Linked DNA regions of Oryzias latipes. The protein of the gene in region 1 interacts with the protein of each later gene in a pairwise test. Links are inferred from orthologs where the notes say so. Each region holds a gene or a part of one and is shown in the gene's direction. Other genes may lie near its edges. The genes, in order: trip6, rad23a and rhoq.

Region 1 (3,653 bases):
CCGTCTCCTGAAAACTGTTTATGTTTTAGTTTTATATTTAATTAAAAAAAATTTCTAGGTTTTTATAGCTGTCCATGATTTAAGGATCTGGCTTTATAGAGTTCATATAGAAGACATCCAACACAGTAGTTTAAACAATCCTTCTGTTGCTATATTTCTGTTTGTACAAAAAAATAATAAAATAAACTGCATCCACTGCTGCCTGATATGAAACACTCCAGGAAGAAAACGGTCAGCCTTTGTAACTTTGGAACATCTTGATGAATTCAGTCATGATGTAACTTTTGCAAAGCAGTGAAATGGAAACAGGTTTATTTTTCTTATTGTGTGATTGCTGAGAAATCTGTGGCCTTCTTTGCTTATCACAAAGATTTCCTGCCGTAAGAGTTTGAGATGTGCGAGCTTTGAAACGAGGTCTTTTAAAGGGAGGGAATCAACAAAACTGGTGTGAGGAATGTGGCAAAGTCAGATTTTAACTTTTAAAATCCATTTAATATAAACACAAGACATTAAGGTTACTTTATAGTTGTATAAAGTAATACTATAGCAAGTTCTTTGGATCAAAACACAACTTTTAAAAAAATATAATTTAAATTAAACTTTGATAAAACAATTTTGTAATCCTAAATAGATTATGTTGTGGTGCGATTCTCTGCTTAAGAAAAACGTCTTTTTTCTTTGTTCCGATATTCCTAACATTTTAAATCGATGCTCTGAAATGGAGCGCGTTTTAAAGACTTTGTACCGTCGGTGTCCTGAAAACCATCAGGTGTTAGTCGGGGCTTTTGACAGCCCAGCTTTGAGGCTCTGACGCCTTTATCCCACCAAAAGTACCGGTAAATGACACATTGTTGTGATGCAGGTGTTCGCAAATGAATATTATTACACAACATTTCCTGACTCCGGTTTTGTCTCGGTTTCGAATGGAAATTCATGATAGTGGAGTGTAAATAGCCAAACACAATAACTATTGTGATGGATAACACAGATTTGCACCTGCTGGTGTGCTTGTGTGTGTATGTGTGTGTGTGTGTGTGAGTGAGCTGGAGATTGTTTGTGTCTCTGCGTTGAGTAAGGCCTGCTGGAAACCTCTGAGCGTTAAATTTACCCATCAACATAAACTGCATTGTTTGCTCCGTCTCCCGTTGCCATAGGAAACAAAGGCGGAAGCTTCCTGCGGTTTCCATTGGTTACCTGATATTTACAAACACATCTCAGCCAGAGCTGCATCTAAGTATAGTGGATTAAAGCTGAAAATTCTTAGCAAAGGGACTCATTCATTACTTCGCACTTCCTGTGTTGTCAGAGCACTGAGGTCTGCCATGTCTGGTCCCACCTGGCTGCCCCCAAGGAACCTGGACAGCCCCGAACGTGCCATCCCCCAGATGTCCCACTCCTCCGGGGCAGCGATCTACCGCGCCCCAAACAAAAAGGCCATGTCAGACTTCAGAGCAAAATATGGTCCGTATGACCAGAATGGAGTGGGCGGGGTCACCAACAGGTACATGGCGACAGGAGCCACAGGTAGGAAACCCTCAACATCTGGAGTCAAATCTGGGTATAGGCTACGTTCACACTGCAGGGCTTCATGCTCAATTCCAATTTTTTGAAAAAAATTGTTTTTTTTGCAAGGCCATTCACATTTCCAATTAAATGCGAACTTTTGTGATGTCCTATGTGACCGTGAAATGACCCAGAAGTGACCCGCATGCGCAGAAGAGTACTCAACGGTGACCGACGTCACTCGTTGTTTGCAGAAGTAGCTAACGTTAACAATGGATGTCAACAACAGTGTTGTCAACAGCTAAGCTCCTTTTGCATTATTGAATTCATTTTCACAAAGGAGCCAGCGCAATAACAATCTTCTCATTTTAATAAGGCATTTGAGCTAGGATCGTCTGTACCCACTGTTGTGGAATGGAGATGTGAATGTGCTGGGGCCGCGAGGGCGTGTGTAAGAGAAGTAAGAGAGCGCGTGCAGCGCAAGAGTAGGTGAGGGGGGGTGCAGTGGGGGCGTGTATTCGTATTGTGTCTTACGGAGGAAAGAGAACGATAATAAAAGAAGGTTTTCCCAGAATAAATGCTAATGAGTCTTTATTAACCCGCTCTGGAGAATCTGAGGGTCCAAACGGGGAAGTGAACCCCGAAGGAGGATCCTTCGGCCGTGGAGAAGGTCTCCCTCGCGCTTCTGTCCACGGACGGAAAGGATAAAAAGTCTTTGCGGGAAAGGTTCAACACCACGCTCCGCCATTTCGCTGGAAAATCTTTCAATAACCGGCTGGTTGCGATAAGAGCCCTTGAGTTTGGCCTGAATAGAGCTGTCACCCCAAATATGAATCCAACCGGTGACCTCGCTTCCCTTCCACTGACTGGTCTCAGCAGCATCGTACGCCATGGTTGATGTTTATGTTCTCGTTCCCGCCTACTTCAACGCAGAATTATGACTTTTGTAGCATATCGATGACGTACGGATCGGATTCATGTGGCCTGGCCGTTCAGACGGAAGTCGCATTTGAAAAGATCGGATCTGTGTCGTTCAGACTGTCATGAAAGATCAGATACAGGTCGCATAGGGACAAAAAAATCGGAATTGGGTCGTTTCAGCCTGCAGTGTAAACGTTGCCTTAGATCCACTGGAAACATTTTTGTGTTTTAGTTTGTAACTTCAAACTTGCTTAGTTGTGTTTTTGAAACATTTTGAAAGAGGAAATGATAAAGTAGTTCTGTTTACCCAGAACGGGAAGTCTTCCAAGATTCCTGAAACTCTTTTCTTATAAACATCCATCAAAACAAAAACAAAAAAAAGTTTATCATTTGCTGATTTAGTGTAAAACCTTTTCTTAGCTTTTTATTTTTTTTATTTTTACGTTTTAGCTGCACATCAATATTTCAATTTTATTCTGAAAGAGCTCATCTTAAATTAGACAACACCATGTAAATGAGCAGTTTTGATCAGACTTGTAGAAAAAAAGGTCTGGCTGCTAAGAGACAAAAAGTGCAAATAATAATAATTAATCACTGAAAAACAACCATAAATCATAAATTGTTCTATTGATATGAGCGAGTCGTAAATACGCATCATTATATTTATTTTACAACAACTTTAGAAGAAAGTCATCATTGGTTTTCAAAAAAAAAATTCCTTATGGAGATCTGAATCACATCTGTTTAAAAAGGTTCAATAGTTGTGAAAATGCTAAAGTTAAGTCACCAAACTATCTCACATGACTATCAATCATCCATTTGTACTAGTTGATAGTTTACTATTTTTACTTGACTGTTCAAGCTCCTGCTCTGTTCAGGGGGCTAAATGATAACAGAAGCTAATAGAGTCAAAACAGGGACCAACCTGGGTCTGTTTACTACATTCATTTTATTTGAATGGTTCAGATTGGTACTCTGTATCAGCAGATGGTCAAAATTAAATGAATTGGATTGAGGAAAAAAAAAACTGATGAGGACATTCCTGGTTTTTTAAACTCGTCTATTCAAACTGTTCTGTGGATTTAAACAAACGTCAAAAGCCAACAAGTGTCTTTTATTTTCTTTTTCTTTCAGATGAATTCAATAGTCTCACTGCTTGACTTCCCAAAAAACTAAAAGAATATTTTAACAAAATAAAAGCATGCTGTAGTCCTCCATTTAAACTACAA
Region 2 (3,653 bases), on another chromosome or scaffold:
GCCAGACTTTGGACATGCCAGATGGATGAGATGGCATAAACTTTAAAAACAAAGATTCCTTATTTATCTTGGGAATTACATTCTAAAAATAACCCTTGATAGGAAATCTGCAAAGTAATGAAGCTTTATATGTACAATAATTCTGGTATTTAAGGCTGTAAAGCTTCTCACTACACACCTGTCTACGTTTCTCAGACAAACATGAACATTTTCACACTTTTGTCTCTTGTTTAAAGTCTCAAAGTTCAAACCTTCACAGAATCTAAGGCCAGTATTGTAGAATGAAAATAGATCTGTTTATAGTAGAAAACACTGATGGTCATGTTTCTGAAATCAGGTGGTTGATTTTTTTCGGCTTTTCTGCTTTCTTCTTTTTTTAAAATTTATTTAAAATGTGTTTTTGTGGAGGGGTTGCACAGTGGTGTAGTGGCCAGCGCTCCTCCCTCGTAGCGAGAAGGTTCTGGTTCCAATCCCAGCCGGGTTTTGTCTGCGTGGAGTTTGCATGTTCTGTCTGCATGTGTGGAACTCCAAAAAACATTCCAAAAACACGCTTCATGGTTAATTGGTGAATCTCAATTGTCTCTAGGCGTGAATGTGAACTGGCGACCTGTTCAGGGTGTAGCCCACCTTCACCCAATAGTAGTTGGGATAGGCTCCAGCAACCATGTGACTCTAAAACTGATTCTGCCGGTTTAGGGGATGGATTGATGTTGTTTTTTGTCGATTTTGTTGAATAATTTAGGCGTTTGTGCTGTTTAAATGTTGGATTGATAAAGCTCTTCGAGGGTCTGAAGTCTTTCACATTAAGGCGGATTTGTTTTACTGTATATAAAGCTAAAATAACGTGATAGGATTTCAAATCAATCAGGATTTTCCTTGTCTTTTGTAGCTCCAGCGGCGGGAATCAGGGCCTGGACGCCTCTTCAGCGTTGGGTATGTGACGCTGAACCCTCACCTGATGACTCTATGCTCCGCCTGCAGTTGCTGCTCTCATCAACACAACACAAACCCTTCCTGTAATTAGAGGGCGACAAAAGCGAGCTGGCTCTTGTTGCGGGGTCACACAGAGGGATGGGGAGTCCCATGTGATGCAGTTATGAGCACATCTGCTGCACGCAGAGGCGACAGGAAGTCACGTCATTTGTCAGTCAAGTGCCAGAGAGCCTCTGTCTTCTGCGTTCAGCCTTTTGGTCTTGAAGTCAAGTTGAGACCGTTCCCATTTAAAACAGGGGAGCCTGACACAATAATCATGAAATGTTTGGACTATTCAAATCCCGAAACTCTTTATTTGACCCGTAAAACTTGACTGATTGTAGCTCAGGCTTGACCCCCTTTGCACAGAGGTTTGATTCCCGGTTTGTGTTTCAGTGACTGGAGCGGAGTACGAGGCCATGCTGACGGAGATCATGTCTATGGGATACGAGAGGGAGCGAGTGGTGGCGGCGCTGCGGGCCAGCTTCAACAACCCGCACAGAGCCGTGGAGTACCTCCTCACTGTACGTATGCTGAGGCCCCGCCCACCTGCCGGATGGGACGCTGCCTCTGAGCTCCCAGCCAGGGTGTGATGCTCTCACTACCGTAACCCTTCGACTGCGTACGCAATTCTTCTTTTCATTAACCTGTTTTTTAGTAGGGAATCAACACGAATCGGCTGATTCTGACACGGACAAAAGCGGCTTTTCATGTTGGCTTTGCACCGATAGACCACACATTTCTAACTTTAAAAGTGTTGCATGACGGCGCAAAGCTGTTTCCGCCACGGCAGAATCGGCTGTTGGTTGTGTAAACACTTGAGTCCTGTAAAGTGTTGCCCATCAGTGTGAAGCTCATTTTCTCCACTTCAGAATCCGTTGCGTGAACAGTCGTAGGGTTACGGTAGTGGAAAGAATGTAAACACTGGCGCTAAAGCTCTGGTGTCGCTGGACATTCACACAACAGACATCCGACCAACAGGAGGTGAGGTTGTGTGAGACGTTCACACCAAACGCGTATCTGACGCGTCAGATCTGCTGCTTAATGTTTATCCAAAGAACGCGTTCATAAATGGACGTCTGAGACGAGCTGCCGGTTCAGATTTTGGAAGCATTGACTCCATATCCCGTTTACAGTGCATGGAAGACACGGATGATGTTTAGAGATCAGGTTTACGTGTTTTAAAAGACTTCTACAGAAACATTGGTGATCCCGCCTCCACGTCTGGGTTCATGACATCATTCAGAGACTCTCCCGGTACGCTGAGCTTCACCGTCTGCTGCAGGAGCTGCGTCTGATTGACAGCTGCTCCCGACTCTCCCTGACCCAGTTTGACGACTCGCTGTCCCGCATGAGTCCTGGGAGGGAAAAAATACAAATGAGAATCAAATTAGAGGAACTTTCCATTATTGTATCGACGGAAAAAGCAAAACAAAATAATGGTCCTAATCTTTTCAGTGATTCCCGATTGCATCACTGAACCCGCCACGCCTGATTGGTTGACATGCGGTTGAAGTTTAATTCGACTCGCTGCGATGCCCAAAACATGCTGCTGCAGAACCAACGTTCAGACCCCAGATGGCGTCTGGACATTGATGCGTGAATCGCATTTGGTGTGAACGCGGCTTTAGCGACACGCACCCGTACAGGTGCTGCGGGGTTTTAGGTCGTCTGGGACGTGGAAAGTCGTAGCGAGGAGCCTACCGCCACTCTTGAACTGTTTATGCAGAAAAGCCAAAGCTTTGCAACGTTTTCTCTGTCAGAATTACTAAAAAGTAACGTAAACAATCCAAGAGCGTGTGTTTTTTGTTGTTTTTTGTCGCTAGTGACAACGTAGGTGTTAAAGGTTAAGGAAACGCAGGTGTCTTGGAAATGTCATGAAATGGAAGGTACCATTGGCGTGCGTGTGGTAAGTTTGTCGTTGGGATGATGTAAGTTGCACGTGATGCTGTTGTATGGCCCCCTAGTCATCAGTAAGGCGTCACTGACGACATGCTATGTTTGATACGCAGGTGCCTGTAGGATGTCCTCTGTCTAATTTCTAAGTCAGGCTGCATGTGAGGAGCGCGCACGTGTCACGTGAACAGCACCACCGGCTCCTTTCTGCTGGAATGAGGAGGGTTGAAGACATGAAAGTCCTGACGACACGCCTGTGTCTCACCTGCTTCATCCTCACGTGTTGTAGAAGCGTTCACTGCGACCTGTCGTCCGTAGAAAAAACTGCGCACGAGCATTTTCGCCTTACAGTCTACGGTGTTAAAATGGTCCCCCAGGTGTGCCCACGTTCCCCCCACAGACAGCCGTGTCCACCTGCGAGTGCGGTGGAGACCACAGCTAAAGCCTCTGGGTGTAAATCTGGAAATGAAGGCGTGTAACCGCATCCGCTGTGTGGCACCAGCCGTCTGATTAGGTCGAACTTGTGACTCTAGATGCCTCAGAATGAAACATCGCTGTCCAGCTCAGGAAGTGGTCGCTCACAGGCGCTCTTGTGTTTCCAGGGTATTCCCAGCAGCCCCGTGCAAGAAAGCAACCCCCCAGTGCAGCCCCCCACCTCTGGATCCACAGACGCCCCCTCTCTAGCAGAAGGTATGAGACCACAATGCATTGCCTTTGAATGATTTGTCATTTGAAAAAATGTACATAAATGAGTTTTTATGAATTATCCACCTTTTCTTTATCAC
Region 3 (3,653 bases), on another chromosome or scaffold:
TGTAGTCCCAAAGAAATCCACCAAAACCTCCCCCTCTTCTCTTCAGATGAGTGAGGCTTTTGGGTTTTTTTGTTTTTTAATGGCAATGAGCTTCTCTTCCACACATAAAGTATCTGTTGCTATGGTGATGCAACAAATTCTGCAAAAATTTCTCAGCAAATTTACACTGGATGCAAACCAAAAATATGTCGAAATTTACCAACATAGCTAAAAAAAAATGTGATAGCAGAAGGAAGTGTACTGAGTGAGTAACAGATTAAACTGCAAGGAAAAAAACAAAATTAAAACTGAACCAGACCTGTGAAACCAAAACCCGGCTCCTGAGGAACACATGAACCACTTTAACAAGGTTGAATAGAAGTCTATCCTCAAATCTCTCTTTACCCCAAACTACCTCTTTAACCTTAGATGTAGAGTATTTTTTATTTTAATTTTTTAGGCTGACAGCCTGAAGAAGACCATAATTAAAGCAGCAGCTGGACTCCCCTCCATACATTGTGTGATGGAACAGATTTACCAGACGCACTCCTTCTTTCTTACAGTTCAGCCTCTTTGTTGGAGGTTTTGTCGAGGCAGCAAAAAAAAACAACCCAAAAAAGACCACTGACTTGAAGAAGTGAAAGCGGAGACAAAACTTCTTTTGGAAAATACCTTTAACCTCCTCAGTAGTTAATGTTTGGGCTATCCAAGGAGGTTCACGCGTTTCTGTAGATTTAGTCCTATTCTGAAAATGTGAAACCAAATATCGGATCATTTCTTATCCCTCAGAAGTCTCTGAACTCACCTGTGCATTAGCCAATCACATCAGCTGAACCGGCCCTTAGTATAGTTTTCATTCAAAATCTAACATCAACACTTTTTAGCTTTGAATTTTTTGGTTTCATACAAACATAACAAGAGTTGTGACACATTTGTGATTCTGCTTGGAATAAACCCTTTGAGTGGAACCCTTTTTATTTAGACATTTCTGTGTTGTTGTTTTTTACCTCGTATTTACTTTGTGGATTCGTTCACTTTTATTTTCTCTCTGGATGTTTGATCATTGTTGTAAAATATTAAACCTGTTTGATATCATTTTTTGTGGCTTTTGTAGTAAAAAAAAAGACGAAATCTACAACCCGAATTGAGTTTTTGGGAGTTTCTGGTTGATTTTTGAATTATTTTTTACTATTAGGGCTGCACGTCATCAGGAAGACTCATTTCCTGATATGAGTGATCTATATTGCGATGACGATATCATACAACAGTTTAAATTAAATAAGATAACATAACTTAAATTACCTCCAAATGACCCTCGTCTACACAGGAGGCGAGCATCTAACATCAAAGGGCTCCATCCTTGTGGTCAAATGCATAGATGGATTAATTTGATTCGTTAAATACTTCAAGCTGCCATAAGATTGTTTTAGCTCATTTAAGGTTACCGGTTTTATGATATGCATATTGCACAGCTTGATCTCCAGATAACGATATATTAGCGATTTATTGTGCAGGCCTATGTAATATAATGAAAACTATTAGTAAAATATAGAAGCTGGGATTATTGCCACACAAAAAAAACAGTTTTAATGGTAAAGTATTAGAGCAAACTGTAAAATAATTAAAAGAAAATGCTCCAAAAGGGTTAATATAGAGATTTCTTTTTTCAGAATGCTTCGTTTTTGAACCAGAGCGTTTTAATTGGCTGAATCCAGACCAATTATATCACACCAGGAAGTTTAGAAAATGGTGTCTATGCCAAACTCTCCATCAGTACACAAGGCTGTGCTGTGAAGACGATCTGTGAAACCTTTGGAATCGTCTGGATGGAGAAGGATGAAGACAGAAAAAAGTTATATTTGAAAAAACAAACTCCCTAACATGAATCCGCTGCTGTGCGAGTGTTTGCTTGTCTGATTGAGTTTGTCTCATGTTTGTGTGAGGCTGAGTCATCTCTAATTACCTGAGAGGCATCGACTCTGCGTTTCTCCCTGCTGCTTTCTGAATGCCAGCCGGAAGAAAATGTGAGATGGATCACAAGCAAAGGGTTGCTGTTTTTTTAGTGAATGTGGTTTTGTTTTTTTTGCTTTCACCCCTAAAATAGTCGGACATAACGGTGTGTGGTTGTCATGTTCTGCAGCTGCACCTTTAAGCCTTTAAGAAGGTGAAACCATTAATCCAAAATGGGGGACAAAACCCATCATCTTTTGTTGTCTCTGCCCAATATCAGAGCTGTGATAAAGGAAATCATCTTTTAGTCGGTAGGGAACAGAAATGAAGCAGGTCTGCCCTCTGACTCCAGAGATTCACCATCTTTGTTTCTTTTAGGAGGACTACGACCGGCTGAGGCCGCTGTCTTACCCGATGACCGATGTCTTCCTCATCTGCTTCTCCGTGGTCAACCCGGCCAGTTTCCAGAACGTGCGTGAGGAGTGGGTGCCGGAGCTGCAGGAATATGCCCCCAGCGTCCCTTACCTGCTCATCGGTACTCAGGTTAGTTCTTAACACCCGTGGAAAAAAATTTTACATCCATTTTACCGTAAATTCTCAATTGTCCTCATCAGTTTTTGGAAGATAAATAAATATTGAAGCTTTTGCTAGTTTGGGAGAGAACTTTTTACTTAAGTGCACTTTTGCAGTTTGCTTCCAAATGAATGTAAAAAACAGTTTTCCCTTTTTTTCTTTTGGTTTCCATGCTTATCATTGAGAAATGTATTTTTTTGCTACAAAGGGACCTTATTTTTCCCTAACCTGGTTAAGCGTGTTAAAGTATTGTATTAGAAAAGGGTTTTCCCACTGACTGACTTCACGTTTAGACTCAAACTAAGCTGTCACTCCGTTTTGTTTTTTTGCATTTGCATAACTGCAGGACACGCATTTCTGAGTATTTCTCTAAAAACCTGCACTCTGAGCACCGGCCCCTCCCAACCCAGGAATACGAGTCAGATTCACACGAGCTGATGTAGACAAATAAAGAACCGCCCCTTCCAGGAAGAGTCTGTCCTGCCAGCACCGCCCCCCCCAGGCTAACAGACACGCCCCCATTCTGCACAGAGCTAGCGATGATCGGCTAAACTCTTTCCTTTTATACGTTCAGTATGCTCATCCATCTTTCGGATAATTAAGTTTGGATGTTGTTTGTTTTGCTGTGTGGGACGCTGACACGCTGCTGAGGCCGGCTCTAGGATGATGTCGTGAAATGGGCGGACCCACAAGGAGCGCAAGGCGGAGCCTCAGAGAAAGAGGCGTTTTACTTCCTGGTTGGAAAAAAGCTCAGGAAAATAACAGATATTTGATTAAAACTTCATTCTTTTGTGTGCCAAAGGTAATATATTATCACATGTATGTATGTATGTATATATATATATATATACATATATATATATAGATAGATAGATAGATAGATATATCTTGATGTAGTTTACCATAAAAGGCTTAAGAATAGCATGGAATAGGCCATTTTAAAGACTCGCTTTGCTCAAATTTGTTTCTAAATGTGTTTGTGTGACATTTTTCTGATGATAATGGACACGTATAAAACAATTAAGATTAAAATGACATTTCTGACTATTTTTGTACGGCTGGATAGCTCGAATATTGCTCGCCAATTTTGTTGCAGCGATAGTGTTGGATTAGAGTATGTGAGAGGCTGTAAAATAGCAGGAGACCAAGTA

Evidence for each region.
Region 2: the proteins of trip6 (region 1) and rad23a interact in binary tests that used the Homo sapiens proteins (3 or more experiments, as listed by UniProt). The two-hybrid records come from large-scale screens. The link is inferred for Oryzias latipes from reciprocal best matches to the Homo sapiens genes TRIP6 and RAD23A.
Region 3: the proteins of trip6 (region 1) and rhoq interact in a two-hybrid assay, tested with the Homo sapiens proteins (2 studies listed by BioGRID and IntAct). The two-hybrid records come from large-scale screens. The link is inferred for Oryzias latipes from reciprocal best matches to the Homo sapiens genes TRIP6 and RHOQ.

What each region holds. Positions count from the first base shown.
Region 1 is NC_019876.2:14,756,049-14,759,701, reverse strand, and holds part of trip6 (thyroid receptor-interacting protein 6), read left to right. Parts: intron 1-1,306; 5' UTR 1,307-1,322; coding exon 1,323-1,524; intron 1,525-3,653. UniProt on the Homo sapiens protein: Relays signals from the cell surface to the nucleus to weaken adherens junction and promote actin cytoskeleton reorganization and cell invasiveness. Involved in lysophosphatidic acid-induced cell adhesion and migration.
Region 2 is NC_019866.2:22,938,750-22,942,402, reverse strand, and holds part of rad23a (UV excision repair protein RAD23 homolog A), read left to right. Parts: intron 1-889; coding exon 890-933; intron 934-1,368; coding exon 1,369-1,496; intron 1,497-3,470; coding exon 3,471-3,558; intron 3,559-3,653. UniProt on the Homo sapiens protein: Multiubiquitin chain receptor involved in modulation of proteasomal degradation. Binds to 'Lys-48'-linked polyubiquitin chains in a length-dependent manner and with a lower affinity to 'Lys-63'-linked polyubiquitin chains.
Region 3 is NC_019873.2:6,511,362-6,515,014, forward strand, and holds part of rhoq (rho-related GTP-binding protein RhoQ), read left to right. Parts: intron 1-2,307; coding exon 2,308-2,472; intron 2,473-3,653. UniProt on the Homo sapiens protein: Plasma membrane-associated small GTPase which cycles between an active GTP-bound and an inactive GDP-bound state. In active state binds to a variety of effector proteins to regulate cellular responses. Involved in epithelial cell polarization processes.